Linked DNA regions of Notamacropus eugenii. The protein of the gene in region 1 interacts with the protein of each later gene in a pairwise test. Links are inferred from orthologs where the notes say so. Each region holds a gene or a part of one and is shown in the gene's direction. Other genes may lie near its edges. The genes, in order: EGFR, EPS8, STIP1 and STAT2.

Region 1 (7,080 bases):
ATAAATACTGGTTGGGTTGGATTCTATAACTTTGGCGAAAACTGTTTATTTTTTTCCTAGGCAAGATTCAACATAATTTTTTTTTACTCAACATTTCTGGGGAAGTATTTCGGAGTGTTGAGTAAGCCTTGAAAAGTTATGATCACATTGAACTGCTTCACCAACCTTAAGCTAATGCAGATGGCTATGGCAAGACCTGATTGTTCTTATGAGAATTATTTCATGCATGAAAGTGCGTCAGCACAATCACAAATTACATGTTCCTTTGTGATACCATCTTAATATACTACAGTGTCTTTAATACAAGGAGAGTGCAGTTCCCCACAAAGAAACAACACAAGACTGCAATGTGCATAATTGCAAACTCCCCAGCCCAGCATTTAAGGCCTTGTACATTCTACCTACCTTTCCCATCTTATCTCACCTTGTTAGCATTCACACACTTTGGGCTATCAGCAGTTTCCTGATCTAGACCATCCTGCACTCAGTGCATTGACTCAGGCATTTACTCACATCTAGAACACACCCCTTTCTCCTCATTCCTTCTCTTCCTTCTGGTTTCATCTTAGGTACCACCTTTGCCATAAAATCTTCCCTCATTCCCCTTCAGCTGATAGAGATTCCTCAACTTTGTCTATAATCCTTAGTATAAAGAGCTGGAATCTGAAAAGTCTGAAGCCAGATACCATGCTAAGGACAAGTCAAATCCCTTCTTTGGTTTTCTGATCCCTATCTTTAGAAAGTGAAGGAATTAAACAAAATCCTCTCTAAAGTTTCTTCCAGATCAAAGCAAACAACCCCAAGCCAGGTCTTAGTAAGCAAAGTGTGGGGAGGCTTGGTGCAAACTGAATATCTTGGGGAGAGATTGCTGAATTTGGGCATGGGTGTAGTCTGATAGTCACTACCCATGTAACCTCAGGCTAACCATATAACCTCTCCTGGCCTCAATTTCCTCATGTGTAAAATGAAGGATTTGGACTAGATGGCCTCAGACATCTTTTCTATGTTGTTATGATCCAATGAGCCTATAAAAAAATGGAAGCTCTAGGTAATTTCAACAAATTCACGTCAACATTTTTAAAGCTTCTGTGCTCAAAGCATTGATTGTATGTGCTATGGACACCAATATTCTTATATGCTACAGGGGGAATACAATGTGTGCATAAGAAAAAGAGAGGGTAATTTGATGGAAAGGGAAGGACCAGGAAGGACTTCAAAGGGCAGGTACCATTTAAGTTGAACCTCTTCTGCAATGAGAAGGCATTATAGGCATTGTACATGATTTGTTTGAATGTATGGGAATCAAAGAGAGAATATTAAGTTGGGCAATGACTAGTCATCCAATCTGGCCAGAATAGAGTAGGTGAAAGGAAATACGGTGAAATAAGGTTGAAAAGGTAGGTGAGAACTAGATTGAAGAAAATCTTAAATGCCATTTTTTAAGAGGCAGTAGGGAGTCAGAAAAGGTTTTTAAATAAGGGAATGGTCAGACCTCTACCTTAGGAAAAGGGAATGTGATCAAAAAAAGAAAAGAGAATGTGGTGTAAGGGAAGATGTAGGGGCTTTGGAGTCAAAGAACATGGTTCAAATGTCACAAATCTCTGTGACAATGAGTAAATTACTTAACCAGAGTTTCCGCACCTGTAAAATAAGGGAATTTGACTAGATTGTGTCTAAGGTTACTTCCAGCATTAATTCCCCTTTTTCCCCATTAATTCTTTTAATTATATTCACAGTTGTATGGAGGATGGTTTGGAGAGGAAAGAGATGGCAGGGAAAACAATTAGGAGGTTATTGCTATAGTCTGGGTGAGAAGTGTTGGTGGCCTAGAATAGAGTGGTGACCTTTTCAGTGAAGAAAGGATATGGATGTGGGAGGGAATCTGATTTTTTTTTAATACTACCATCTCAAAAATCAATTGTAATTAGACAGCTAAAGGCTGAGTTTATTCCTTTTATAATTAGTTTCATATTAACTTTATAGAAGCAATCTTTCTATTAAATAATCTTACTAGTAAATAATTGGTCAATTAGCCTTTAATCAAGTTTCCCCCACCCTACCCCAGGACGCTCTCTGCCATTCACCACAGTTTCTTTCTAAGGGTGAAATTTTAAAAAGGGGAAATAACTATCATTCATAGTTTCTGCACTACCATAGTCTACTTCCTGAGCTATGGGACTAATTCCAGGTTCTATGCACTTTACCATCATGGGAGCAACAAGATGATTAAGGTTGCTGAAAGCCAAACACAAACCTGTGTGGGGGGGGAGGAGGGGGGGAGCAATGGGGCATCAGTGGGCTTTGGGGGGAGGTTTACAAATGCCCAGGCCTTGGAGAACACAGAAATAAAAGGCACTGCTTTTTGCTACAATGAATACTTTTTGTTTTACTCCTTCTTTGTCTCCTAATTTTGAACTTGCAAAATCTGTTTTACTGGGATGTTAGTAGTTAATACACACTTGGGAACTATTTGTGAACTTTGAAAGATGGGGGAAGAGGTTAGAGGAAGCTTGGTAAAATCTTCACGATAAACTGAGGCAAAAGGGCTACATGACGTTAATTCTTTAGCAGATAATAAATCAGTGTATAAAAAGTAAAAGAGGGGAATCACTCTAGAACACTTTAATCTTCTTTCCATGGTGACATGCGGAAGGATTCCTATTTCCTTAACAAAATAATTTGTGATTTTCCACTTTTATACACATACATACATCCATACACAGATACATAATGAGAATATGGAGGAAGAACGTTACGTAAATAATTGACTAATGGTCACTGAAGAACAACGCACAGTCTCCTTATCTATCTTTTTTTGCTTAATGTTTTTTCACCCCTTGCTGTGATTTCCCAAAATCACCTCCTTAGCTTCAGACATTTTGTAACATTCAGTTACCAACTTTATAAAACTCCGGGTCTTCTTACTTCTGACTTGGAATTTAAAATCCGGCTATCCTTCCACTAATATTCGCCATTTGATTTCCACCTAAACATTAGACTTTTAAGCTCTGGGGTCGTCTGGCAAAGATTTCCCAGCCCGCATACCCTAAAAGGGAGAGGAGGGAAATGTGATGAGAAATATTAGGAACTGACCAAGTTTTGTTTGGTTTTGTTTTTTGAAAAGTTAATGGGTCTGGGGGAACGTTTGCCTCATGAAGTGAACCTCTCCCTCACCTCCACCCTCGAGGGTGAAGAAAGGCTATGGAAAAAAGAAAAGCAGCTCTGTCCTTTCTCTCCTTTGTGGGAGATGCCCACAGAGGCAGAGTACGTCGTTACCTGGCCAAACTTCCGAAAACTCTGAATCACACACTTAGGCAAGCTCTGAGTCCAGCCTTCTCTTGGGCGGACAGCGCTCACAGATTCTGGTTTTGCGCTGACCACCCTTCTGCCCTTCCGGCCCAGTTCACTGTCGCCCTGAAATCCTCCCACTGTCCCCTGCTTGGCTCTATCCCTCTCCACCGGGTGGTGGTGACCCTACTAAGAGGGGCAGCCTCCTCTCGGTCCCTGTGACGTAGCTCAGTTTGTTTGATGGGGATTCTCTAGGGAGAAACTCGCGAAGTTGGGGGAAAGTTTTTTTCTTTTGTTTTTTATGTTTTGTTTTTTCTGAGAACTGGGAAGGGAAAGGAAGGAGAGGAGAGAGTGCAAGAATCAGCTGTGGGTCGGAACCACTCTCAGCCTAGGTCAGGGTTGAGGAAACACCCTCAGCGCTTCTTTCTCCGCCTCTCCCCCACCTCTGTCCCAAAGGAGAAGGGAAAAAAACGGAGCCCACACTCACAAGTGTGTGCTCAAGGACTCGGAGTTGACAGCCTGTCTAGACCCCTACCCCACCTCCGGTGCCTAGCGCGGTAGGAGCTCCAGCTCGCGCACACGCACACACACATAGGCACACACACAGGCACACACGCGCACGCACACAGGCACACACACACACACACACACACACACACACACACACACACACACACACACACACACACACACACACACACACACACACACACACAGGCAGGCTAAGGGGCAGCGGCCGCACCGCCTCTTTCTCCTCCTCCCTCTCCTCCCCCCTCTCCACCTCCCCTCCGGGCGCTGCGGCGGCAGCAGTAGAAGCAGAGCGCCTTCCCGGCATGGTCTGCTAAGCCAGCCTTGTCGGGCAGCCCGAGTCCGGGGCAGAGAAGGCTCAAGGGAAGCTTTCCGACGCCAAAGGAGGAAAAGCAAGAAGCAAACGCCCCGGCCTCCTTGGGATTGATTCTGCACTTGGCAGAAATCTACCCTCAACGACATTCCGCCTTCCCTTGGCCCCCGGGCGGGGAAAAGGGGTTGTTGGCTCGTGAGATTACTTTGGGACCATCGAACTGGGACCGACGTCGATCCGGTGCGGCGATGGGGCTCTCTGGGGCTGCTGGAGCCGCTGTCCTGGTGCTGCTTGCCGGACACTTTTCCCTAGGCACGGCGCTGGAGGAAAAGAAAGGTAAAGGTGTCGCCTTGGCCTCCCGCCTCTCCGCGTCCCCTGCCTGGCCTTCGCCCTCACCTGGTCTCCCTGCCGCCAGCTTGCCTGTCCTCTTTCCACACCCCGCCCCAGCCTCAGCCCTTGCTAGCCGGCTGCCGGTCTCCCTCCGGCTCGCTAGTCCCAGTCGGCCGGCGCTCCCCTCCCCTCCCCCGTTTCCTGCGAGATCAGCTGTGAGCTCTGGCCAGCACCCCGGTGGGAGCTGAGCCTGGAGGGGCTGTCCTGACAATCCTGTCTGGCCCAGAGAGAAGGGGGTACTGAGGGATCTCTGGCCGGGGAACTGAGCTCCCGAATGGAAACCTGGTGTCCAGAGTCACTAGTTCCCGGGCGCGCCCTCAATCTGGCTGCGCGAGCTCCATCTGCGTTTGCACAGGAAACTTTCTCAGCCGGCTTTCGTCTCCTTGGCCCGCGCCGTAGACTAGCCGGGAAGGGGTGGGGGGCGGCTGGAGGCGGGGAGGCGGGGATCGAGGTAGTAGAGTTCTGGGGGTGAGGGCGCCTTGGCATTGGCCGCACTCTGGGGATGACACTGTGCAGCGGGGATAAAGGGACAGGGTCCCATGTGCCCCCCACCCCACCTCCACTCCCCCCTCACAGCCCTCATACTTCCCAGGACAGGTAAACAAGAGGGCATGAGATGCCAGGCTAGAGAGAAGTCCCACCGGTTAAGTGCTACTAAGGGTGTCTGTCACCTGTCCAGTCCTCTGGACCGGCTCCCTCGTTCACATTTCATTACTCTCTTTCTGTAGCCTGGATTGTCAGCAGTCCGGGGTGGGATCTGTGGGTGGTGGGAGTAGACGGAACCCTCCTCCAAACACACTAAACCAATAGGGAAAAGAGCCCTCAGCCCCATTCCCATTCTTTACTCTCAGGTTCTCCGCCTTCCGTCACCCTCATAACACTGCAGGATTTGGACTTGCTTCTTTTTAACTGTAGCTCTGTGCGTCTGTTTGTCTGTGTCTCCCTCCCTCCTCTCGCTCTCCCCCTCTCCCTCTCCCTCTCCCTCTCCTCCCTTTCCCACTCCAGTGACTGTCGGCCTGTGCTTGATCCTTCCCTGCTCTACAAGGTGCGCAGGTCTGTGTAGGATTCAACTGTGCAGCCGGGTCGCTCCCTACACTCACCTTTGGTTTCCTCCCTACTACCCTCCCTCTCTTACTTATTCCCCACTCCTGAGTCGCTTCACGTTCTTACATGCTTCTTAAAATACTTTGTTAAACTTCTAGGGGGCAATTCTGGAATCGTGGATGGTTTCTCTAGGGTTTCTTTGGAGAATGAGATATTAGATTATAGAATCCTCAAAACCATCTGATGACAGTAATCCCTTATAAAGATTCCAGTGCAAATCGTTTGGGGAGTAACTTTCCAAATGAACACTCCATACTCTTTCTCCTCTCGGGAATGGGGTGGGGAGTAGATAATCAAACCACACACCGGTTGAAAGAAACTGGTAAAGGTCCACCATTCTCTCTGAACCAAGCATGAGAGAATCTGATTTCGTGACTACTGTCAATAAGCTCCCTTGGAACAAGAAACATGCCTTAGAAGATTCTAATTGCACAATCTTAAAATTAAGGAACTCGTGTTCCAAGAGTCAGGTTCCGACCTGTTGTTGATGTCATTGGCACAGGGTGTTGGGGTGTGTGTGTGTGTGTGTGTGTGTGTGTGTGTGTGTGTGTGTCTGTGCTGGGGGTTTGTTGTGGGTTTGGTTTTTTTTTTTTTTGTGGGGGAGTTACATAAACTTCTTGACTATGTTTGCCCTTCTACGGATAAAGATGTTTTGAGACAGTTTATTTTATCAAACTTGCAAAATATAGGTGAGAGGGTGAATATTCTCGTCCTATACTGGGGAGTGAGTGGTCAGTGTTGAAAGATCAGAGCTGTTGTTTTTTCATTTAGTGAGTAGCCCTCAGATTTATCATCACAGATTTGGATATTTTGACAAATGTAAAATGTCTTCCCCACCCCCTCTTATTTTCAAAACTAATGCTATATTAATCCACTTTCCCTCACATTTAAGATTCATAGTTTCAGGAAAAAAATTCTTTTTTTCTCTCAGGTACAAGAATAATACCTTGTACCTTTCTAGGACCAATTGTAATTTTACTGTTCTTTTACTTGAAGGCATCATCTTTCTGATAAAATATTTTTCACAATACTTTAATGGTTGACTTTTGAATATCTATGTCTGAAAACTTTCTAGTATTCTATACTTTAAAATGCTTCAGCTGTTTCTGAGAAAATATAATTTGTTCTCTTTTTGTATCCATTTAAAGTAGAATGCCTTTTAATGTGGGGATAAAAAGAACCAAACTCTAAGAAAATGAATGTGCACATAGGATAGTAAAAGGGAATGGTTAATTTCTCAGTACAAATTCTTTAGGTTTGAGTGAGCCTATTTTAGAAAGAGTATTAGTTATGATCAGGTGCACTTAAATTCATCTATGCCTTTAATCAACAAAGTCTAATCAATGTCAATGAGAATATTTAAAAGAAATTTGTTTAGATCTTGAAAGCAGAAATATTTGTGCATTTAAAAGAATAATGACAGGTATGTGTGACTTCAACCTTTCGACCTTGCACAG
Region 2 (7,289 bases), about 230 Mb from region 1:
CCTCTGCCCCTTCTCTACTCTTGGATTTGGTTCTGAACTTCATATCTAGGGTTTTTCTTGCTAATTTCTATTTTCTCTGGTGTGTTTGTGTGTAGTGATGGCAGGTTTCAGGACTGCCTAGATCACTGGCTTCAATAGTACTGTGGCGTTAAAGGTCATCTCGAAGGGCTCAAGTCAGAATTCTGTGAAATTCTAGTGCCCCTGAAACCTCCTGGTGCTACCAAATTCACAATTGGAGTGGCCAGAGCACTGCAAATTTCCATCCATCCTCAAGGTCCCTCATTTATATGCTCTGGTTGTCTTGCTTTGGAGTATGAGTAATGAGGATTTCAAGTGCTGCTGGAGCATCTTTGGTCCACAGTGACAGGCCTCTGGATTGTCAAGCTGTGCTGAGGCTAGCTTTTCTCATATCCCCTTTCCATTGCTCACAGGCTCTGCCTGTCTTTTTGTACTGATCTGGGCTGGATAAAGGATAAAATTGCTATAGTTTCTCTTCATATTTCTTGGTCATTTGGTCTGGTGGTTTTTTTAGATTTTTGCCATAGTACATGTGTGACTGTTGGATTCCTCTGAGACCATTCATACAACCCCCTTAAGTCTCTAGCAGCACATTTTAAGAGGGATTTTGGCACACTGGAGTACATTCAGAAAAGCATGAGCAGCATGAGTAAATGAAACATCTATTGAACTTTCACTAAGAGCAAAGGGCTGTGTGAAGAATAGAAATTCCCATACTAATGAAATCACAATTCCAGATTAAGGATTATAACTGTTCCATTCCACTCCATATGAGTCACAACTGTATCTGCGCATTAGTGGTCTTAACCTGGGGTACCCAAAGTTGTTTAAAAATTAATTTGGTGGTTATTCCTGCTCTCAAGGAGTTGACATTCTAATGGAGAAGCAACACATATGAAAGGTTTCAGCTGCAAATCAGATTGAAGGGTCTCATGGTGCTTAGGGTAATACTACTTTTTAAATGCTATTTCCACTGATAAAATCATGTCATTTACTGATGTTAGACCACTTGATAGTGTGAGGACTTTGGTGGCAAGAACATTCTTTTTTGAGTTTTCAATAATTATGCTTGTAGCAACTGCAGAAGCAGTTGCCAGGTTGCATCTCCACAAGGGCTGCTTCCCAGGATGACAGTTATGGGCACTGTGCTCTTCCCAAGGCTCTTGGGTTCAGGGTCTTGAACTGTCTTCCTCAGAGTCTGAGGGGAGATGATGATCAAGGTGGTAGTCATGGTTCTGCTTACCTGAAAATTGATACTTCCTGTCTTTCCCTCAAAATTGCCTCGCTGCTTCATCTAGGTGGGTTTTCCTGCGCTTTGTGTGTGGCTGGCTATTGATGAGCAGTTGGTAGAGATGGCTAACTCTTTCTACATAGGAGTTGCTTCCCTGGAAGATGGCTTCCAGGGCTGGGGTAGGACTACTTGTCTGGGGGTTGTTGCCACTCCCAGTGGAACAGCTGAAGGAAATAAGGATATTTAGGGTAGAGAAGACTTAAGGACATGAAAGCTAGCTTCAAATATATGCTGGGCAGTCTTGTAGTGGAGGGGTCAGATGAAGTGTGTGTACCTTCACAAGGCAGAACTTGAATCAATAGGTGCAAGTTATAAGGAGATCAGTTTTAAATCAGGAGAACAATTATAAAAGTAAAAACCTGAATATGTTACTTTACAAAGCAAGGTTCAGGTGGGCAGTGTTGGGGACTGTTGAAGCAGGTCCTTGGATGAGCATCTAGTAGGTATGTATTTGAGAAGATTCCTGCATAAACTGGAAGGCTGGATTTGATGAGTTCCAAAGTCTTTTCCTGATTGTAATTCATTCTTCCCTTGATTCTCATGCATTCTAATTCCAAAGATTTCATTTGTTTTCCTACAGATCTCTAGGATATGCCTGCTCTGAACTATGTTCAAGCACAATCACTCCCTGCCTGTGCTTATCACAGTGACTGGCACATGGCAGGCACTTAATGAATAATTAGTGAATTGACTTCCCAAAACTCAAGAACTTGGGACTTTCCTTCTTGCCTCTGTTTTCACTCTCATGTTTCTCAACTTCTCAAGAAGAGTCAAACAAATAAATGATTAGCAAGTTTTCTTCAGGAAGTTTGTCTTTATTGTTCTGGCCTTTCACTGATTTTCAGCAGGTTATAAATAGATCTAGACAAAAAGCCAATATGGACAGACACATAAGTACTAAGGTAATGGCTTAGAAAACAGAAAATAAAATGTGTATGAGACAATGAAAATACCTTTTAATAACTTCTTGATGGAAGTGGTGGTGGTGGTGGTGGTGTTCTGGTCACTGGAATAAAATGTTTGTGAAAGGAAGTAATGGAAAAATCACAGTCTCAGAATTGCAAGTTTTTTTTGGAGTTGGAAAAGACTTTTTTTGGTGGAGGGTTATCGAGTTAGTCAATAAGAAGCAATTGCTACTGTGCCAAGCATTGTGCTAAGTGCTAGGGATACAAGCAAAGGCAAAGGGCATTTCCTGCTCTGGAGGTGCCTCAGTCTAATGGGTGAGACAACATGAAAACTAGGTCAAAGCAAACCATGTATGGGATAATCTGCAGATAATAAAATTAAGAGAAATCAGGAAAGGCTTCTTGTAGAAGGTAGGATTTTAGCTGGGATTTGAAGGGACCCAGGGAAGCCAGGAAGCTTAGATGATGATGAGGGGGAGCATTCCAGGAATGGGGGACAGTCAGTGAAAATGTCCAAAGTTGGGAGAGGGAGCGTCTGGTTTGAACAGCAAGGAAACCTGTGTCATTAAGAGTATTAGAGAAATGGAAAGGTGAGGAGAGAGATAGCATGTTCAAAATCAAAGAAGATGTTGAACACCCAAAAGAGAATTTTATATTTGATCCTGGAGGTGATAGGGAGCCATTGGAGTTTACTGAGTTTGGGGAAATGATATGGTCAGATTTGTAATTTAGGAAGATCATATTGGTATATGAGTGAATAATAGGTTTTAGAGTGGGGAGAGACATGAGGCAGGGAGATCAACCAGCAGTCTACTGCAACAGTCCAGGTATGAGGTAGTGAGGGCTTGCTGTAGGGTGGCAGCAAGGTCCAAAGGTGGAAGATGGCTTATAGAACAGATGTTTAAAAAAAGGGTAAAACTGATAATCCATCCATGTCCTGAGAATTCATTTCCTTCTTCTAAAGAGAACAGGGTCTGATCAAGAGTTGTGAGAAACTCAAGATCGATTATGATTTGCTAATTTCAGCTGAAGTTTCCACTTCGGGGTACCTGGTGGGTTAGGGATATTGGGAATGGACTTTATTTTCAGGGAATCATGCTGGGAGGATCATGAACTCATAGGATTACAGATCTAGAGCTGTAAAGGACTTCGGAAGATATCTAGTCCAATTCCTTCATACTATAGATGAGGAAATCAAAGTCCAGGAACACTAAGTGATTTGCTTAAGGGCCATACAGGTAAGTAAGTAATCATCAGAGGTGGTTTTTGGACCTAGGTCCTCGGCTCCAGGGTTATTGCACCTTACTGCCTCCCTCTCTCCCTCATTCAATTAGTTTATGAGACCAGTCTTTGTAGCACTGGAAGATGTAGAGCTAGGAGGGATCTTAGAAGCCATCTCTTCCAACTCCGTCATTTACAGATGGGGAAACTGAGGACCCAAAAGGGTTAGTGATTTCTCAAAGTCATGCAGTAAATGTCAGAGGTTGAATCTGAAACCAGGTTCTCCTACTCAACTTCAATCCAGTGCTTTTTAGCGTGTCTTCAGTAGAAATAATACAGGGAAGTAGAAACACACCGGGAAGAAATAAAACAAGAGAAAAGGAGAGAAAGGGAAAAGCGAAAAGAAGAAAAGAGAAGGAAGGAGAGCCAAGGAGATGGAAAAGCAGGCAATCCATCAATTGCCTTTCACCGTCCTCATCAATGACAAAGAATGAGTATTTATTTCTGTATGAAAGATTTCCGCCCCCCCAACGGTTGTAAGGTTTACGGGGCACGTCACTACTCCCTCCTATCCCCCCTCCTCTCCGGGATGTGTAGATCCGTGCCCCGGGCGCCCCGGGTTGGACCACTCCTCCCACCCCCAGACCCCCAAATATTTGCCCCTTTTGGCATCTCTGTGTTATCTGCCTAGCAGCCTTAACGATCCCGCAGAAGGACACGGATCCGTTAGGAAGCAGTGATTTCAAACGGGGATAGATTCCTTGATAACTTTCGCGCTCCTCCCCCTCCCTCCCTCCTCCCTGCCTTTCTTCACGTTCAATGCCGCTGTCAGCCAGATGGTTCACCATTACCCAGGCTCCAGCCGCCTTCTTCTCCCAGCTGCAGGCAAAACCCGGACAAGTGGAGCGCAGCTCGCTGCGAGTGCCTAGGGTGGCGTTCGCGGCCGAACTGGGCATGCTCAGCACGCAGGGCTGGTCTAGCCGCGAGTAAGAAGCTTTGGGATTACTCTGGCAGCGGAGAGAGCGCGCAGCGGGTCTGGCTGGGGAGAGTTAGGTTCACGGGCAGGTCCCCTTCTCATCCCGCGTCTCTCAAGCGTCGGTGCGGGAGGCGGCTGGCTTCCCTGACCGGGGAGACTCGGGGGGCGCTGGCTCGGGTCGGGGAGTGGCGGGTCTTCTGCTAGCTCCCCTCGCACCCCAAGTCCTCGATCCTTGACCAAGGGGGAGAGCTGCTGAGCTCCAAGGAAAGCTTTTGTGCACCGCTCGCTGCTGGTTTGGAGCAAGGAAAACAGTCTACCAAGGTGAGAGAGCTCCTTGACCAAAACGTTTCCAACAAAGGGATCGGGTAGGTTTCGTAAATGCTTGCCTATTTAACTCTTTCCTTTTTCTTTTTCTGTGGTTTAACTGGACTGAAGGCAGTAGTAATCGGCTTTCCACTCTTGCGTCTTTCAACTGGTGTTTGGAGTAAGGTGCAGGGAGCAACTCCTGCCCTCTGGGCATATTTGAGGCTCCTTAGAGTCCTCTACCTTCTGGGGCTTGGACTTATTCTGCTTTCTCCTATTCTTATCTTCAGGTAGGCTTCATAGCTACAATTTTGCGAGAAGTTCACCTTTTTTCCCCCTGGGAAGATGGGGAAAGAGAAACACAAAATGTCCATATAGTGTTTCCTGGTAACTTGAGCTTGCTACTACCCGGAGTCTTATCTTGTCAGCTGGGCTTCCATAGACCTAGTGTTTGTCTCACATCTTATGCTCGTAGATTTCAGGTGTTCATAGCCTTCTTCTTTACCTCGTCACCCCCAAGAAAAGTACTGTTGGAGTTAATGATTCCTTTGAAAGCGTCTTTGGTGGGTGGGGGAAAGAGAGGGACAAGATGCCATTTGTAATTCTCTTTGCACATTAAAGCAGAACTGTTGAATTACAAAAAAAAGCTCGCAAGTTATTTTGGTTTTCTTTTCTTACGTTGTGTTACGATCTTTTATTGATTTTTTTTCAAATGATTGATTACTTTTGAGAAGACTGCCTTTCTTTCTTTCAATGGTCACTATATTTGAGTTTGATTTATTTCATATTTCCCTAAGCTTTCCACTTTCCTTTTGTTCCATAGCCTCCCAGCTCCCTTTACATTTCTTAATGCTTTGCAATTCTTTGAAAGAGCCTTGGTTCAAATCCCAGTTCTGCTCCTTACTATCTGTATCACCTTGGGTAAGTCGCTTAAATCTAAGCCTCTTATTTCTCATTTGTAATATGAGGGGATTGGAGGAGATACCCTTTCTAGCTCTAAATCTACAGTCTTAATGCTTCTGCAATTAGGACCATTGTAATTGATGCAAGTTGGTTGGACTAATCTCCATTTGGTCTGAAACAGGAGTGACATACAGTCAGATGAAAGTGACTAGTGAAAATCCATGAGTGCAGCCCGACTCCAAAAAAAAATTCTGCTTGCCACTGTGCCTACCCAACCTACTTACCATGAGATTGAGGCATTTATAAAAAGACCTGGTTCTTCCCCAGTATAAAACCCCAAAGTCCTCTTACATTAATAAGCTATACAGAACCAGTTGACTGTCTGAACTGAGCTGTTTATCTACCAAGGCATATGACTGCCATCCAGAACCAAACCAAAATGGGGGTTTGTGGGAATGGCAGTGAGGTAGAGAGCCTACATGTCTTTCATTTTGCTTGTATTTGTATTCTCAATGCCTGACACGTAATAAGTGCTTAATATATGCTTGTTGACCAGCTGATTTACTGATCTTTTTTATATGAGTGTGATACTGGTAGTATGCATTATCCAGTAAACCTTGCAGTGAACTTAAGGTGACTATGGTTGTATCTCTATTACTGGAATTCTCAAAATTAATGGTACTAATAGCTGATATTTCTTTGTGGCTTTAAAGTTTGTGCAATGTTTTACAAATATAATCTCATTTGAGATTCACAATGATCTTGTGAGGTAGATAGTAGGGTTATTATTATCCTCATTTTACAAATAAGGAAAATGAGGCTCAGAGACTTGAGATATCAAGATGGATAGAGCACCAGACCTAGAGGCAGGAAGACCTGAGTTCAGATTTGGCCATAGACATTAACTTTGTGACCCTGGACAGGTCACTATTTGCCTTAGTTTCCTCAACAGTAAAATAAGGACACTTGCACCACCTTCCAGGGTTTTTGTGAGGATCAAATGAGATTATATTTGTAAAGCATTAACACAGTACCTAGTGCTATGCTAGTAAGTGCTATTTAAATGTTGCCTATTATTTTTGTTGTGTTGTGTTTGGTTTAAAGCCATATCTTCTTGACTTCAATTTCAGGACTCCATGTACATTATTTCATAAAGCAGAGGATGCCGACATGATAAGTCCTATTAAGGATATATATTCTAAGTTGTTGTCTCAAACGGAAGCTAGGTAAAATTAACTACTGTTACCTGTAGAAATAAAAATCTTAGAGAAGTTGATCATTTAGAGTTGTATTTAGAAATGTTATTTTTCCCAGTCACTTAAATGAATGTATTGCTAGTTTTCTGGGCAAAGTTAATTGCTTGCACCAAAGTGTCAATTAAAAATGTGAAATAGCTAATGTCTTGGTCATATAGATTTTGAAACCTACATTGACATGCTCGAATGTTTGAGAGATCATTTGATTTTATTTTTGTTGTAATTAGGAGGTAGGGGATTTAGGATCTGGGGAAGGTTTCTTTGAAGTGAGATCACAGAGATTATATTTATTTTGCTATTAACTTAGTTTTTCTGTTGAAAAAAAAAACAACACAATTCTTTTGTACCTTCCTGGCTTGTGGAAATAGTATGTGCTAGTCATTCAGATTCAGTGAATTCAGTCCACCTACGTTCAG
Region 3 (7,902 bases), on another chromosome or scaffold:
CTCTGGAGATCTTGGGGCTTCCAGAGCCCCTCCTCGGCTGTCTGGGGACTGACCCATCTTTTTTATGCTCATGCCTTTCTTGGATGATGTCTTATGTTACAATTGTACTGTCTCATAATGTGAGAGTGGCATAGGGCACCCTGACCTCACAGTGCCTGGGACTGGAGTGAACTCTAGGTATGGGGACATGAGTGACAAAGCAGAGGGACTGATGATCCAGGCAGATATTTTAAGGTTTGTCAGATGGCCGCTGACAGAAAGTAGTTTGGTTCATCAGAAATATCTGCACACCACACACACACTCTCACACATATACATACCCCTCTCTCTGTCTCTCTGTGTCTCGGTCTCTCTGTCTCTCGGTCTCTTTGTCTTTCTGTCTTTCTGTCTCTCTGTCTGTCTTTCTGTCTTTCTCTGTCTCTGTCTCTGTCTGTCTGTCTGTCTCTTTCTCTCTCTCTCTCTCTCTCTCTCTCCCCCCCCCTCCTTCCCTCTCTCTTCCTCCCCCCCATCCAGTCAGGACTACATCTCCCAGCATCCTGAGTCCCAGCCCTCCCCTCCGCCCTCCTCCCCCCTCCCCTCACGTCCTATCTCCAGTTTCCCAGGACGCCTGGGAATTCTCAAATTAGCCATTCACTCCCAGGCCCCACGTACTTGAACCGCCCCGTCACCTGTTGCTGGAATCCAAACTCAGCACTAGAAATAGCCCCCTGCCTGGCTGGCCCCCCAACCTGCCTCAGCTCTTTGCAGAAGTGACCAGCTCGGCCGCCCAGGGCATAGCCGGGTATGCCAGGGCCTGGAATCTGGTTGCCAGCCAGCCGTCTTCTGGCATGCTTCCTTCTAGCCCACAAAGAGTAAAAAGTGACTTATGTAACATGTTAGAGTTTGCAAAGCACAGGACCAAAGTTCACCCACTGAAGGAGATCTCAGAAATCAACCATCCTCAACCCAGCTTTTAACGGGGAAGGAAACTAAGACCCAGGGAGAGGACTGACCCAAGGTCACACAGGCCGACAAGTATCTTGTGACAGGCACTGGGCCAAGCCCTGGAGGAAAACAGCTTCGGACAAACAGGCTTAACGGGATGGGTAGGAGATAATTGGGAGCAGGGGAGAATATAGAATTGAGGGGGAGCAGGAGTCTTCTTGTAGAAGGTGGTGCTAGCTGGGGCTAGGATGGAGACCCAGGGGTCCCGACTCCCAAATCCTGCATTCTCTCCACTGGCCTCTGTGATTCTGTTGGTCCAGGAGCGTTTGAAGGCTACAGAGGACTTCACATAGGTGTTCAGGGTAGTTTAGCAGGAAAGGTAAGCTGGTGCTGTATTTATAGTCTCAAGATCTGAGTTCAAGTTCTGCCTTTTCCATTTACTGGGGGTGGGGCATGAGGCAAGTTCTTACCGTCTCTAAGCCTCAGTTTCCTCCTCTGTCTAATTAGTGGGATAGACTTAGACAACCTCTGAGAGCCTTCCAGCTTGAAATCATCTATTTCTCCTCACTTAAATCCAATTCACAGGCAAGTCAAGAAAGATGACATCATGATAATCAAGTTTAATAAAAGGGAAAGGATGTATTAAGGACCTACTATGTGCCAAGCACTGTTACTAAGTCCATTCCATTCAATAAACATTGATGGATCACCTACTGTGTGCCAGGCACAGTGCTAAGCCCTGGGAACACAAAAAGAAGATAAAGACCGTTCCTGCCTTCAATCTAATATATCCAAGGTGAACTACAGCCTGGACAATACAAAAGAATGAGGGAAGGCCCTGGAGCAAGCAGGGCTTGGAGCAGGCTTCCTGTGGAAGCTGGAGTTTTAGTCCTGCCTTAAGGAGTAGTGGGAGTGCACGAGGGGGGCATGTTCCAGGTCTGGGGGCAGCCAGAGAGGATGCTGGGACAGAGGGGTCAGCAGGGGCCAGGACAGGGAGGAGGGGCCCGGCTATGAAGGCTTTGAATGTTAGGCTGAGTGTGGACAGACATGATCTCAAATCACCAGTCTTTTGTCCCTCTCCTAGGCTGGCAGCACCAGGTAGAAAGGAGCCAGAGAGGGGGAGAGGAGCCCCCAGGCTGGGTCTGTGCCCATGAGGACCAGGGCAGGTGGCAGGAATCCTGGGAAATAGATGGCAGAGAACTGAAATGTAAGTAGAAATCTTTTCCCTCCGGGCCCGGTGGCAGCTCAGCTCCTGGAGGAAAAGAAAATTCAGGATGACTTTCTTTACCTTCCAGTCTGAGAGATGTGTCGAAAACTTCCTGGAAAGTATACAGCAGATGGCTCCGTCAGTCTGTCAAGCAACAGGCATTTATTAAACTCCTACTGTATGCAGAACACAGACACAGACTGCTGTATGAAGAATGGATTGGAGAGAGAGGAGAGACTGGAGGCAAGGAGGCCAGTTAGGAACCTACAGATGATGAGAGGAGTGAGTTGTAGCTGGGTCTGACTCTTCAGAGTAAGGGGGATCACAGAATGTCAGAGCAGGAAGTCATCTTGTCCAAGCTAGCTTTCCTACCTGATTAAATGGTACTTCCTTTCCCATGCAGTGTGGTCCGGCCAAACTAGCTTTCATACTGTTCTCTCACACAAGACTCTCCCACCTCAAGTGTTTGCCCTGGCTGTACCCCGTGCTTGGAATGTCATCCCTCCTCATCTCCACCTCTTAAAATCCCTTGCTTTCTTCAAAATTGTTCAAGGAACACCTTCCACATGAGACCCTTTCGGCTCCCTCCCCAACTGTTAGTGTCCTCCCCATCGCTGCCCCACCCCTTCTGATTAACCTTGTATGTACCTTTATTTTGGGTTGATTTATTTATGTACAAATGATCTCCCCCAGCAGAATGCAGACACAAGTGGTAGATACAGTATTCATATGAGTGCCAAGTCAGTGATGCCCACAACTGGGCTGTGAGGTCACCGTGTGGGGTCACAGTCCTTGTTTCCTGATGGGCATCATAGGACTGCCTTTGGGGGACCTGAGAGGGGCTTCCAGGAAAATTAGCACTAAAACTGTATTATATAGACTATATCAATGTATTCCATTTCCCTTACAGTATGTATTCCTGGGGTGTTTTATGATAGCTAGCATTTATAGAGTGCCTATTATGTGTTAGGCTTTACCATTATTCTGTATTTAATAAGAAGTGGTCAGTCTTTGGTTTAAGACAGACATCAAAATGACCCTTCTATTAATTATCCAATAGCCCTCATTAATAAAATGATTGTTAATTACCCAGAAAAAAATAATAAACAGTTGTTACTTTACTCATTGAAATTTCAGCCATGAAGGTATCTCCTGGTGTGGAATTGTCCTCCGCTCATGCAGGTTGGCTACTCTGTGTATAAATGTGTATTTACAATTCTATTCTATTAGCAATGTTATACATAATATGTAATCTTAGATGCACATAGTTCTTCTCTCTGTGTGGGGCCTGGGCCCTGGGCCCTGGCTGGTCAATATTTTGATCACTTTATTCCAACAGAGTTGGTCTCCTTTGCAATCCTATGTATTTGCTCTGATGCATTTGAAAACCTGATTCTGAGAAAGGCCCCCCACGTTGTCCCAGGGGTTCAGGACACGCAAGAGCCTGGGTCAGAATCAGCTATGAGGACCTATCCTCTCTCTGATATGTTGTGATCTCTCTTACATAAGGAATGGCATTCAGGTCATGACTGCCAGGTTATCTGGTGGCTGTGGCATTCCCACTCGGGTCCCGGGGCAGAGTGTGAGGCCCTGGAAAGAGAGTCTAACCCTCAGGCAGATCCAGCCACTTCTCCTGGCCTGTTTCCTCATCTGTAAAATGAGGGGGATGGGTTTGCTCCCATCCTCACCAAGACACAGGTGCCAGTGCCCCCTCTGTCCCCAGCTCACACTGAGGCAGGGCTTATGGATCCCATTCCCACTCAGCGATCCTGGGGCAGGTGCTGCCATAGACCCCGTTTCACAGATGGGAAACTGAGGCTCAGATTGACTGGTTTGCCCCAAAGTGACAGAGTTGCTCCTAATAGGAAAGAAATAAGCATTTATTAAGCGCCTACTGTGTGCCAAGGACCAGTGCTTAACTGTGCCCTTTACAACTGTCATGCATGCGAGTAGGCGCTTTTATGATCCCTGTTTTCTAGCTGGGGGCAACTGAGGCAGTGGGAGGTGAATGGCCTTGCTAAGTGCTTTCCCCGGCACCCCACCTCCGGTGCAGAGCTCTAAGCGCCCCCCACACCCCGCCCCCACACGGCAGCCCATTTCACAGAGGCCGACCCTGCCCCCTGGGACCCCTGGCACCCCTGGCACCCCTGGCACCCCTGGCCCTGCCCGGACTCCTTCCGTGAGCCTGCGCAGTTTGAGAGGGCAGAGTGTATCGGGGAGACGCTCGGGGTTATACCCGAGGGCGCCCCCCCGGGTTGCGAGAAACGAGCACCTCCAGCCTGGCCGGAGCCTAGGCACTCCCCACGAGTTAAGGGAGCGGGGGAAGGGCCAAGGCCGTGGCAACAGTCTGCTCGAATGGCAGCAGGAGCGACCTATCAGAGCCAGGCGCTTGGAGACCCTGCGCCCAATAGAATCGCTCCTTATCGCTGGCTCTGACGTCACTGTGCCCGTCAGTCCAATGGGAAAGGTGGAAATTTCCAGAAGGAACTGGACCAATGGGTGCGACCAGCGCCAGCCAGACCGGCGCTCTCGCCAACCAATGAGTATAGCAGACGAACGCCTCTCTGCCAGTCGTCAAGCAGGCTCTGGGGCGGGCCGTGCCAAGGAACGCCCAATGGCGAGGAAGAAAAGACTAAGGGTGGAGCGAATCGCCGTCCGCCGTCCAATGAAAGGAAGGTGCCCATGAATGGCGGAGAAGTCAGCCTCTCGGAGCGCTAGGGGGCGGGGCTCGGAAGGAAAACTCCACCAATGGGGCGGCTACGAAGGGGCGGGAGCCGGGAGTCCCGGCAGCTTCTAGTAGGTTCCAGAAGGCGGCGCGTGCGGCTGGGAGCTGGGCGCGAGCGGGCTGGCGGACGGATTCGCGGCTGCCTCGGCTCCGGCCCGGGCCATGGAGCAGGTGAGCGGCGGCCGGCGGGCGAGCAAGGGAGGAGGGCGAGCCGGGGAGAGGTGGGGGGGCGGTGAGGCCCGGGGCCGCCGCTGAGGTAACTGAGCCGGGGCTGGGGAAGCGACCGGGGCCCAGGGAGGGGCGGGCGGGCCCGGCCGGGCCAGGGTCAGAGGGCGGTTATTGGGGTGCCCAGGGCAGATTGAATCTGAGGGGAGGCGACGGGACCCAGGACTGGCGGGGGAAAGTACTGGAAGGGGGGAAAGAATGGGGGGGCGAGAGGGGGAGGAGCAAGGCCTGGGATGGGGGGGCTGTGGAGGTGGGGGGAGGGGAAGGGTCTGGAGGAAAGGCGAGCCTGTTTCAGGGGGAAAGGAGAAGGGCTCTTGGGCCCATCCGGGGTAGAGAGACCTCCAAGGTTTGGGGGTTAGCCCGAGGAGCCGAGCTAAGAGACAGGAAGTAAGGGGGGGGGGGGCAGAGGCAGGACTCCCAGCGGGGGGTCCAGGTCCGAGGAGGGCAGGCCCTCGTGGGGCTCCAGGGATGGGGGGAGGGAGTCAGCCCGGCCTTCCGTGAAATCCATGGGGGGTAAATGCAGGAGAAACTGGGAACTGATTGAAGTAAAGGGGGGGCAAAGTGAAGTCAATGGGGGCGCCCCGAGGCAGGCTCTCTGTGCCTCTGGGGCGTCCTAGTGAAGGTGCCTGGGCCTCAGGTGGGGGCTCTTTGGGCTCAAAGGCTTTGAGGAAAGGGGCCCTGGAGCAGACTAGGGGACACCCCCCCCTTTTAGCTGGACACAGCAGAGCTGATGCTCGGGTTGGGACCCTTCTCCAAACGCAGGCTGCCTCCCCAAGTTTTTGGGTTCCTCGGAGGTGCAGTGATGGGATGTAAGAGGCCGGGTCAGTACCAGAGGCCCTGGGTGGCAGACCAGGCTTGTGGGAGTGAAGGGAGAGGTGTCTCTGTTGTGGTAGGACGACAGGACTTGGCTTTCTGGCTCACTCTCGGGGGCCTGGAGGACAGGAAGGAAACTTGGAGGGTCCCATCTGGGGTAGAGTGGTCTGTGGGCAAGCTAGCCTTGAGTGCTTAGGTCTCTAACATTTAGATACCATCTAGGGTTCCTCCCTTACACTCGTTTCACAGATAAGCAAGCTGAGGTTGAGAAAGGGATTGGTTCGGTACCCCACATGGGTGGGGACTAGAATCCAGGCCTTCCTGCTGTCTACCCTCTGTCTCTACATCCCAGGTCTGAGAATAACCTCATCCTCGCTGCCGGATGGGTTTGTGTGTTGTCTCATTCACTTTATGGTTAGGAAAGTCCATGAGTTGTAAGAAACGTTTGAACACCACAAGCTGGAACGTTGGGGAGGGGGGCGGACTCAAATCTTGAGAGGCCAGTCTTTTAAGTTAAATTTGTAGCACAAGTCAGGTCAGACTTTTCCACTTGAGCTCCCCTTTGTAATCGCATTGGGGAATCACCCACACTCAGTGTGCTCTTTTTATTTCTTGACTGGCCCAAGCTTACCTGCTGAGTGGGATTTCTCGCTCCTTCCTCCATCAGACTTCAGAATCCCCAAGTTAGAAAGGCCTTTTCAGTCCCACCTGTGCCTGAACTGCAACTCTCTCCATACCTGCCACAAAAACCAGGAGTTACATTGGGAAGGCAGCCATTGCAATGTTCTTGTTGTAGTGTTCTTACTAAGGATGGTTGCATTTGAGCTTTATATTGGCTTTTCATTTTAAAGGATGTACAAATGGGGGAGAGAGGGCACTTTTCAGATTAGGGATAGCTGTTTCCCTGTTTGAGGTTCTGCCCCTCACACCCATGTGTGAGAAGCTGCCAGCCTTTCCTCAAAGGCCCTTGTCTGCTGGTTTGAGAGACATCCTGAAGTGGTACCACAGACCCTCTCTCATGCATGGTCCTCCTACATTTACTTCAACTGGAGGTTAAAAAAAATGAGTCATAGATTTGGCTGAATTAAACTGAGCAGGGGGCAGGCTTTATTTCAATCTCCCAAAGTGATCTTAGGGTGCCAACCCTCCCCTTTTTCCCCCTATTCCTTCGCCATTTGAGAGAAAAGTGTTTGCCTGTCCTATGGATGGATGACTCATGACCACTTCAACGAGGGGAGGGTTCTTCTTAGCCTCAGGAACATGGTCTAACCATGCCAAAGAAATGGCATCTCTTCACTCTGGAAGTAGGAAGTCTTTCCCAGTTTTCCAGAAATCCGACTGAGACACCATAACAGAACAACATGTTCACATGCTCTCTTTGCTAACCAGTTCCAGCCCCAAGGGAATCAAGAGAGTCTCTGTTGGACTTTTGGGAAACGTGACAAATCCAAACTGCCCTTTTTTCCCAGGTTAATCCCTAGGTCAGTCCCACAGTTTTCCTTTTGAGCTTATCTCTGTGCCTGCACATTTTAGATCTCTTGATTCAGTGAGGAGTGGGAAAATTTGAAAAGAAATTAAGCTATTCCAGCCTGCGAGGGAGCCTCTATTTACTGTTGTTACCCAATGAATTTCAAGGTCCAATTCCATCTTTCTGTGTTTTGGCATAGAAAGAAGCAGTTAATTTTAGATTGTGGTCAAGTGGAGTCATAGAAAGTGTTTTGGACCTGGAATTCAGAGAGACCTGGATTTGAATCCAGCCTCTGATTTAGCTCTGTGGCTAGATGAGCCATTTAATCCTCGAGTTTCCATTTCCCCATCGGAAAAATGGGATTCATGCCTGTGGTACTTGACAGGGTCATCCTGAGGTTTCAGAGAGGTGTGTATATGTTCAATCCTGCAAACACTGAGAACTGTTTGTCTGAGCTCATCAGGGAAGGGGGACCTCCATCAGAGCAGCAGATTTCTACCTGGAAGGCCAGCCTTCTCCATGGAAAAGCTCCAGCCATGC
Region 4 (8,001 bases), about 190 Mb from region 1:
CAGATCTGCACCTAACACCATCATGGCCCAAATTCAGCTTACCATACCAAGTGATTATCACCACAAGGAAAGCCAGTATAGAGACTGACCTCCCCTCCTTTCTCTTACTTTCTAAGAATATGTTGACCACACTTGTTTTTTTTTTTAAATTTATTTTAAACTTAAATACAGAACTTAAAGAAGAAATATATTACAAACTTAAATATTGAAATTTAAATACAAAATCAGAAAAGAAAAAAAAGCACTGCCATGCGCACAGCAGAATGTAAAAGAGGTTTCAAAATACAGTAGTATATTTCCATTTTAAGAAAGCCTATATATGAAATACTAAACATTGTGTTGAGAGCTGTCCATCTTTGCTTCCTTGTAAGTTTTCTTTTGTTCTCTTCTATGCACTTTTTACTTTGTTCTTTTTCCCCCTTACTCGACACCTCCACCCCTAACCACACAGTCCCAGAAGGATACAGTTAAGGTCAGACACACATACACACACATGTACATATACATGCACATGCATACCTACATATGTAGACATATACACACAAAATATATATACATATATATACCCTTGCACACATATACTTAATGCATACATATACTTAGATATCTATAATCATACTCATAGATATACACATTTCTCTATCTCTGAGGGTGGATAAACTCTTCCTTCACAAGTTCAAGTCTTTCCATTTCTCATTTGTGAGGAAAATCTGGAGAGCCTGGAACTTTCTGACCTACTCAGCCATCCTCCCAGAATCAACCCCCCTTGACCACACTTTCTGGCCAACCCCAATTCTTCTAGGATCTCTTACATGAATTTCCTAACTTGGACCCTGGTTCACACCCAAAGCGGCATGCGATGTGGCTGGGGAAGAGATTGTTTGCCCAATTGAATGCCTTTTATTGTGGCTTGGCTTCTATAGAACAAGAAGAAAAGAAACCAATGAGACCTTCGTTCTTGGATTACAAGGTGTTGGCAAGACTTAAGATCCTACTGTCTCTGTAGCTCTTGGGCAAATTTCAGTTGAGCTGGGGATTCATCATTGCTCACTTGTCCCTCCAGAGAGACTATACCCATGAACCTGAGGGGTGATCTATCAAATTTCACAACAAGCATGTGAGTTTGTCCTGGTTCTGTTCCCATAGACCCCAAGTCCCATTTCCAGGCTTTTGTCCTCCATGCTATTCAGAGTTTTCATCTGAGGCTTGAAGTGTCATGCAGTATCAGCTAAAACTTCCTGAATTAAAGGCTATCATAATGTGCCGAGTTGATCAAAAAGTCCTGGCCAAACATTTCCTAATACCCTCTACCCCAAGACTTGCAGCTTCTCGGTGAAGAGCACAGTCTGCTTGTTTTCTTGGATAAAATTCAGGCTATATAGAATAACTAGTCCTTTGGGGGTGAGGGGACAGAAACTCTAAATAGTTTGCAAATGCTTCACATGAAGACTAGTAACCCAATCTTCCTAAAGTTTTGATGAGCAATTAAAGCTTACATTAAACAGGAATAGAAAGACATGTTATTTCTCTCTTTATGTCCAGTAAAACCTAGTTTAGTGGTTGTAATAGGTGCTTAATAAGTGTAGATTTTTTTAATTGACTAACTAGAATTAAAGGGTCCAAGAGGCTGTAGAGAGGGGAAAGAAACACCCCAGTTTCACTGAAACTTAAGATAGATACAAGCTGTTGATTAAAGGACCCATACCTGACCAGTTCTATCTTGGTCTCTCTCCCTTTAGCTTCCAGACCCTCTTTGCACACATATACTTAATGCATACATATACTTAGATGTCTATAATCATACTCATATAGACATACACATTCACATGCATTATGTAAGACCGTGCTATATTTATTTGACCTCTTTCTCTGAGGGTGGATAAACTCTTCCTTCACAAGTCCAAGTCTTTCCATTTCTCATTTGTGGGGGAAATCTGGAGAGTTTGGAACTTTCTGACCTACTCAGTCATCTTCCCAGAATCATCGCCCCTTGACCACACTTTCTTTGTCTCTTCCGAATTTCAACCACCTAGACCCTCTGCTCTATTCCCTCATTAAGCAAATATTGAGCATGTACTTTGTATTTACCCTTTACTAATATCCTCTAGTGCTTCATAATTTCATGGAGGAGACTCTAGGTCAGGGGTGGGGAACCTGATGTGTCAAGGCCACATGTGACCCTCTAGGTCCTCAAGTGCAGCCAAAACTTTGACTGAATCCAATTAAATAAGGACTTAGATCCTTAAAGGTTATGTGAATTCGATGCAAACTAACAGATCTACTGCATGAGAAAAATTGCAAATATGTCACCAGTAACTGTCTTGACTGAAGACAATTTCCCAGACTGAAGACTGGGAAAGTTTGGAGAATCTCAGACTACTCTTTTATCTTCCACAATGTCCATTCCCTAGACTTCTCTGAACCTGAGCAGGAACCTGGTGGCATGGGTGACAGGCAAATAGCAAGGAAAAGAAACTGCCCAGTTAATTGCCTTTTTCCTAATGAAGATGAAAGCATAATAATAGTAGCTTACCTTATATAGCACTTTGTACATATTCCTTTTGATTCGCAGTGGAAATAACAACAATAACCCCTATTATTATTGCAGCTGCCATGTGCCAGGCATGGTGCTAAGGACTTTACAAATATCCCATTTGAAAATGTTATCTCACTTATCTTCACAACTGAGAGGTAGGTCATATCATTACCTCTATTTTCCAGTTGAGGAAAACAGAGGTTAAATGTCTTGCCCAAAGTCACACAGTCTGAAGCTGGATTTGAACTGTGGTCTCCCCAAGTCCAGATTCAAGGCTGTACCCACTGCATCGTCTAGCTATTGTCCCTGCTACATTGATGAACAAACAGGTTCATGGAAGTTAAATGAATTAAGTGTCATAGAACTTAGTAAGGAATAAGACTTGGACTCAAACCCTCTAACTTTATATGGTTTTCTGTTCACTTTCCTACATCACAAGAAAACAAGGGATGATCTGTTGCAAGATGGACAAATATTTACAGTGATCACATCTCTTGCCAATCTTTGGGATCGAATAGGAGGAGGAGGGGCGAGTGGAGAAGTCCACAACTGGAAAGTTACAAGGCAGTGAGACCTACAAAGGAGAGGCTGTGTGGCTCTTAAACAGGTGGGTATACTTCTTGTTTTTGTTCGATGAGAAATGATTCTCTAGCTTTCCACAAAGACAAAGATGAAGAGACCAGAATTGGCAGGGGAGGATAAAGAGCACAAATTCTTGCATAATCAGTCCAAAAATTCCCACCTTGTCTGTTGGTACCAAGTTATTGAGGTGGAGGTTGTAATAGGGATAGAATTGTTCCCTGACTGGGATCTGAATCCTTTCAGACTTCAACCAGAATAGCTTTGTGTCTCCTTTATATTCCTCTCTAGCAAGGCTGTATCCACTACCCTCCAAAATGCCTGTGATGGTCCTTCTATGCAGCCTCCTGCTATACCCAGTAGCTGCCCTCCCAGATGGATCCCATCCCAAGGCCCTACCCCTCCCAACTTCGTCCCTGGAGTCCCAACCAACCACTCTCAGCCCCCTTTCCTGTTGGAACCTGATGCCTGAGTCTCTTCCCGATTTCAACCGCCTAGACCCTCTGCCTAAGTATCTGATTAGCCTGGCCTTCTACATAACCCTGGAGAGAGCAGGATGCCCAGCGGATGCCCACGACCTTCGGCAGCGACTCCATAGACTGGGCGGGGTGAAAGCCACAGAGACTCTCATCCAACAGCTCCAAGGCCTTCCAAGGACCAGAAGAGAAAGGAGATCGGACTGGGTCCTGTTCTCTGCTCTGCAGCTCCTGGGCCGGAGAAGTGAGAGGTCCAGAAGGGCGCCTCGTTCCCTCTCGACCGCGGACTGTGTCTATGAGAAGGAGCGAGGAGTGCACAATGTGATGCGGTACCTGCCCCAAGTGGGGACTTACTACAACCTTGGGACAGCTTTCTATTATGCTGCCCAGAACTGCACTGCTCAGGCCTGGGAGCGAGGACAGGAAGCGGCGCTGGACCTGGGCTACGATCTCCTTGTTGGACTCATGGGGGCAACAGGGGGGCCTGGGGGGGTGATGGCCGGTTTGGCACTTAAGCCGGCGGTCAAAGCTGGGGTTCAGAAACTGATCGAATATTATTACGGTAATAAGGAGGAGTCAGGAAGCCCAGCCCAGGGCACAGAGCAAAGGTGGCAGGACTGGAGAGCCAGCACAGAATTGGGCCCTGGGGTGTCTCCGGCTATGGGCAGCAGCGATCGCACGGCTGATGAGGTGACAGGGGACAGCTCCCTGTGGAACTGGGGGAGGGGGGCATGAAAGAAGGAGTCGGAGAGGGACGTCTGTATCAGTATGTGCGAGTGCTTAATAAAGGCTTGATTGTTCTCCGCATCTGTGTCTGCGCTTAATAAAAGATGGCTGGAATTTTAATTTGGAATTTAATCTCTAGGTCATGTAGGAAACTGAGGGAAGCCAGGTCAGTGGCACTCGAAGAAAACGGTGAGGCTTAGGTTTGAACTCGTGAGCCTAAATCCTCTTCACTTCTGCCAGGGTCTCTCTTTACCTGCTGCGCCGCCTCGGGGCCGGCTCTCGAGCTGCTCCCCAGGTTGACTGACAGCCTTTAGTTTCATCTCTAGCTTGAGCTCTTCTCTTTTCCCCTGTAGCTCCGCCTCAATTCCAGGAAACCATCAGCCTCCCGGGCTCAATCTTTGACTTTTCATTGGGCTATTCTTCCAGCGGGACTCCCTCCCGCCGCGGAAAGAAGGCGGAGTTTGGCTGGACCTTCAGTCCAATCACTGCGGGCGGAAGGCGGGGCTTTTCCTTCATGCCCCACCCTTTGACGAGGGGCGGGGCTTGTCGTTCTGAGGAAGCCTTCGAAGAGCCAGAAGAGGCTGGTGGAGAGCGCGGAGTGACGCGCTGGAGCTGCCGAAGGGAGGGGTGTCCAGACCCGGAATAGCTAGGCGGAGGGAGGAGCCTGAGAGTGAGGGGGTGGGGCTTCCAGTGTTTAGGGTCGAGCAGGCAGGCGAGTGCTGGGTCCCTGAGCCGCGAGACTGGGGGAGCGACACCAGCCAGGTAAGGAGGCCGCGAGCCCCCTTGGGAGGGCGAAGCATGGGCTCCGGGCAAGCGATCGTAGGTTCTGAGGAGAGGGTGGGCCTCCAGGAGACCTTGGAGTCTGACACCCGCCATTAGCCGCGGCCCCTGAACTTGGATGCACGGCCCGCCCCCCCTCCCCTCGACTCCCTACTGTGCAGCCCCCGGCCCCTGATCCCCATCCCCTGCCCCTTCATGTATCACCCTCCTCAGCCCTTCCTTTTCCTCTGTGATATTCCAGTCTTGGCTCTCTATTCTCTTTCTTCCCTAGAACTCATTAGATGGTGGCGGAGGGTGCTTTTAAAAAATACAGTATATAATTTGTGAAAATAACATTTTAAGGGGGGGAGTGGGAGGGGCGGGGGCGGGAGTTGTATCTCTTCTCCTCCCCTCCCCCCCACGCCGTATTTGAGGCTTTTAACACCAGATCATTTTTTCTCTTTACTGATGCATGAAGTCTCAGGGGAAGAGAGATTGGCAAACGTCAATCCCCAGCACCTTTCACTACCCCACAGTATTTCTGACAACAGGTAGCCCAGGAGGGGGGCGGGGCCAGGGGAGGGGGCGGGGCCAGGGGAGGGGCGGGGCCAGGGGCGGGGGGGCGGGGAGGAGAGGGAGGCTTTGACAAGTTTCACCAATTTGGGCACCTAGCCCGGGAATGTACTGTCAACTTTCTTCCAATATCTGAGTTGGATTCCTCTCTTTTCAGTTCTAGGATTTAACCTCTAAAATCAGGGTCATTTCGTATTTCCTGATCAGCTTGTGTCCCCTTTCCCACTAAAATTTTTAACTCCCTTACAACTTTTCATGACCCAAAAGGAAATTAGTCTGTAGAGTCCATTTACTATATGGGGGGGAAATATATACATTTATATATGTAAATCTAACATAAATATATAATACAAATAGATCTATATACATATATGTGCGCATATATGTATATGTGCATTTGGATAGGTATTTAGCTTCAAATATAGCTACACAGTTCATATCTATATACATGTATACATGTGTAATTTGTGTTCATTAATGTGCATAATGCACACATGCATATGCATGCAGTGTGTTTATGCATGTATGTGTATTTTGTGTGTTTACATATAAATACATATATTCGTGGGCAGCTGGGTAGAAAGATAGACTTAAAACTCATAAGATATGAGTATTTCTGGGCTCCCAGTCTTCAACCAGGTATTCCCACTGCCCCTTTCTGATCCTTTGGGTAAATCTGTTCCTGTGTTCTGCTTCCTCTTTGTGTTAACATCACATTAGTTTCCTTCCCCTACCAACTGAAACTCCTCTTATGACCAAAATTAAAAACACTTCAGCATAGCCAGTCAACGCAGAAACTGTACAGTATTCTAGCACCGTAGTACCCCACCTCTTCAATAAAGGGATAGGGCTCGATTTTCTCAGTTCTTTTCATAGGGCAAGCTTGGTCATTATAATTACATAGCATTCAGTTTTTTAAATTGTCCTTTTATTTTTTAATCATTACATATATTGTCTTCATGGTTCCGTGTGAGGCAAAGATTGTTTTCCCCAAGCATCTTATCCTAGCTGCATTGATTTCATTTATGCAAAAGCTTTTCAATTTCAAGTAATCAAAATCATCTGATTCCCCTTTTGTGATTGTCTCTTTAACTTGTTTAAAAATTTCTTCTCTAGTCATAGTTTTGTTTTGACAATTTTTAAAGTATTTTTTTCAAGTATGCATTTGTAATTCATTGTGGTATATAGATGCCAGGCAGCTATGTGGTACAGTGGATGAAGTGCTGGGCCTGAGGTGAGGAAGACCTGAATTCAAATATGAAGTCAAATACTAGCTGGGTGGCCCTAACCAAGTCACTTAAACTGTCTAATCCTCAATCTTAATCTGTGAAATAGGGATAATAATAGAACCTACCTTGCAGGTTTGTTGTGAGGTTAAAATTGTAATATTCTTTGCAATCTTAAAGCACTCTGTAAATACTAGCTACTAGGTTGTTGTTGACGATGATCTAAACCTAAATTTCTGACAAACCATTTACCAGTTTTCTCAGTGTTTTTGTCAGAGTTCTTTTCCAAGAATTTTGTTCTCAATTCAATAAACACCAAGTTACTGAGTTTGATAGTCTCTGATTCTTGCTTCACAAGTCTTTTCCACTGATTTACTTTGCTACATTTTAACCAACACCCAATAATTTTGTTAATTGCTATTTTTTAATACACTTTGAAGTCTGGAAGTGCCATCCTAACTTTAATCTCCTTTTTTTGTTATCTCCTTGAAATTCCAGACGTTTGCTCCTCCAAATGAACTTGGTTATTATTTTGCTAGCTCTTTAAAATATATTCTTGGTAGTTTGGTATAGGACAATAAATTTAGGTAGCAGTATTTTTTATGATATTGATCTACACCAACCATGGAAAAATAAGTAGCCCTCCAATGATTTTAGTTTTTCTTTAAAAAAAAATTGATATCTTTTACGCTTGCATAACTGTTATCTTTCTTACCCCTAACAAAAGGAGGCCATTGCTTGTGACAAAGAAAAATGAAAACGTGAGAAAAAAGTGTAGTTCCCCCAAACTAACCAATACAGCAAGCGGAATTTGACAGTATGTACAATGTTCCACATGCATAGTCCCCTCCCATCTCTGCAAAGGAGGGAGAAGCACTTTTTCATCTATAAAATGACAAAGTTGAGCCAGATTATGATACTGTATCTCCTTTAAAGTCAGACTTGGTCCTTATAATTGACCAGTGTTCAGTTCTGGTTTTCTCTTTCTTTTTGTTGACATTGCCTTCTTGTGCATCTACGATTTATTTAATGTTAATTTTTTCTTATTACACAGTAATTTTCCATTATACTAATTTACCACAATTTGCTTAACTAATCTGCAATTAAAGAGCATCTACTTTGTTTC

Evidence for each region.
Region 2: the proteins of EGFR (region 1) and EPS8 interact in binary tests that used the Homo sapiens proteins (3 or more experiments, as listed by UniProt). The link is inferred for Notamacropus eugenii from reciprocal best matches to the Homo sapiens genes EGFR and EPS8.
Region 3: the proteins of EGFR (region 1) and STIP1 interact in binary tests that used the Homo sapiens proteins (3 or more experiments, as listed by UniProt). The link is inferred for Notamacropus eugenii from reciprocal best matches to the Homo sapiens genes EGFR and STIP1.
Region 4: the proteins of EGFR (region 1) and STAT2 interact in a protein complementation assay, tested with the Homo sapiens proteins (3 studies listed by BioGRID and IntAct, with this or other methods). The link is inferred for Notamacropus eugenii from reciprocal best matches to the Homo sapiens genes EGFR and STAT2.

What each region holds. Positions count from the first base shown.
Region 1 is NC_092874.1:420,224,748-420,231,827, forward strand, and holds the start of EGFR (epidermal growth factor receptor), read left to right. Parts: upstream 1-4,071; 5' UTR 4,072-4,377; coding exon 4,378-4,465; intron 4,466-7,080. UniProt on the Homo sapiens protein: Receptor tyrosine kinase binding ligands of the EGF family and activating several signaling cascades to convert extracellular cues into appropriate cellular responses.
Region 2 is NC_092874.1:190,303,456-190,310,744, forward strand, and holds the start of EPS8 (epidermal growth factor receptor kinase substrate 8), read left to right. Parts: upstream 1-4,271; 5' UTR 4,272-4,732; exon of another isoform or gene 4,733-4,776; intron 4,777-7,289. UniProt on the Homo sapiens protein: Signaling adapter that controls various cellular protrusions by regulating actin cytoskeleton dynamics and architecture. Depending on its association with other signal transducers, can regulate different processes.
Region 3 is NC_092873.1:17,036,407-17,044,308, forward strand, and holds the start of STIP1 (stress-induced-phosphoprotein 1), read left to right. Parts: upstream 1-4,900; 5' UTR 4,901-5,018; coding exon 5,019-5,027; intron 5,028-7,902. UniProt on the Homo sapiens protein: Acts as a co-chaperone for HSP90AA1. Mediates the association of the molecular chaperones HSPA8/HSC70 and HSP90.
Region 4 is NC_092874.1:231,637,330-231,645,330, reverse strand, and holds the start of STAT2 (signal transducer and activator of transcription 2), read left to right. Parts: upstream 1-4,983; 5' UTR 4,984-5,079; intron 5,080-5,554; exon of another isoform or gene 5,555-5,627; intron 5,628-8,001. Other genes in the region: APOF (apolipoprotein F), read left to right, coding at 3,433-4,326. UniProt on the Homo sapiens protein: Signal transducer and activator of transcription that mediates signaling by type I interferons (IFN-alpha and IFN-beta).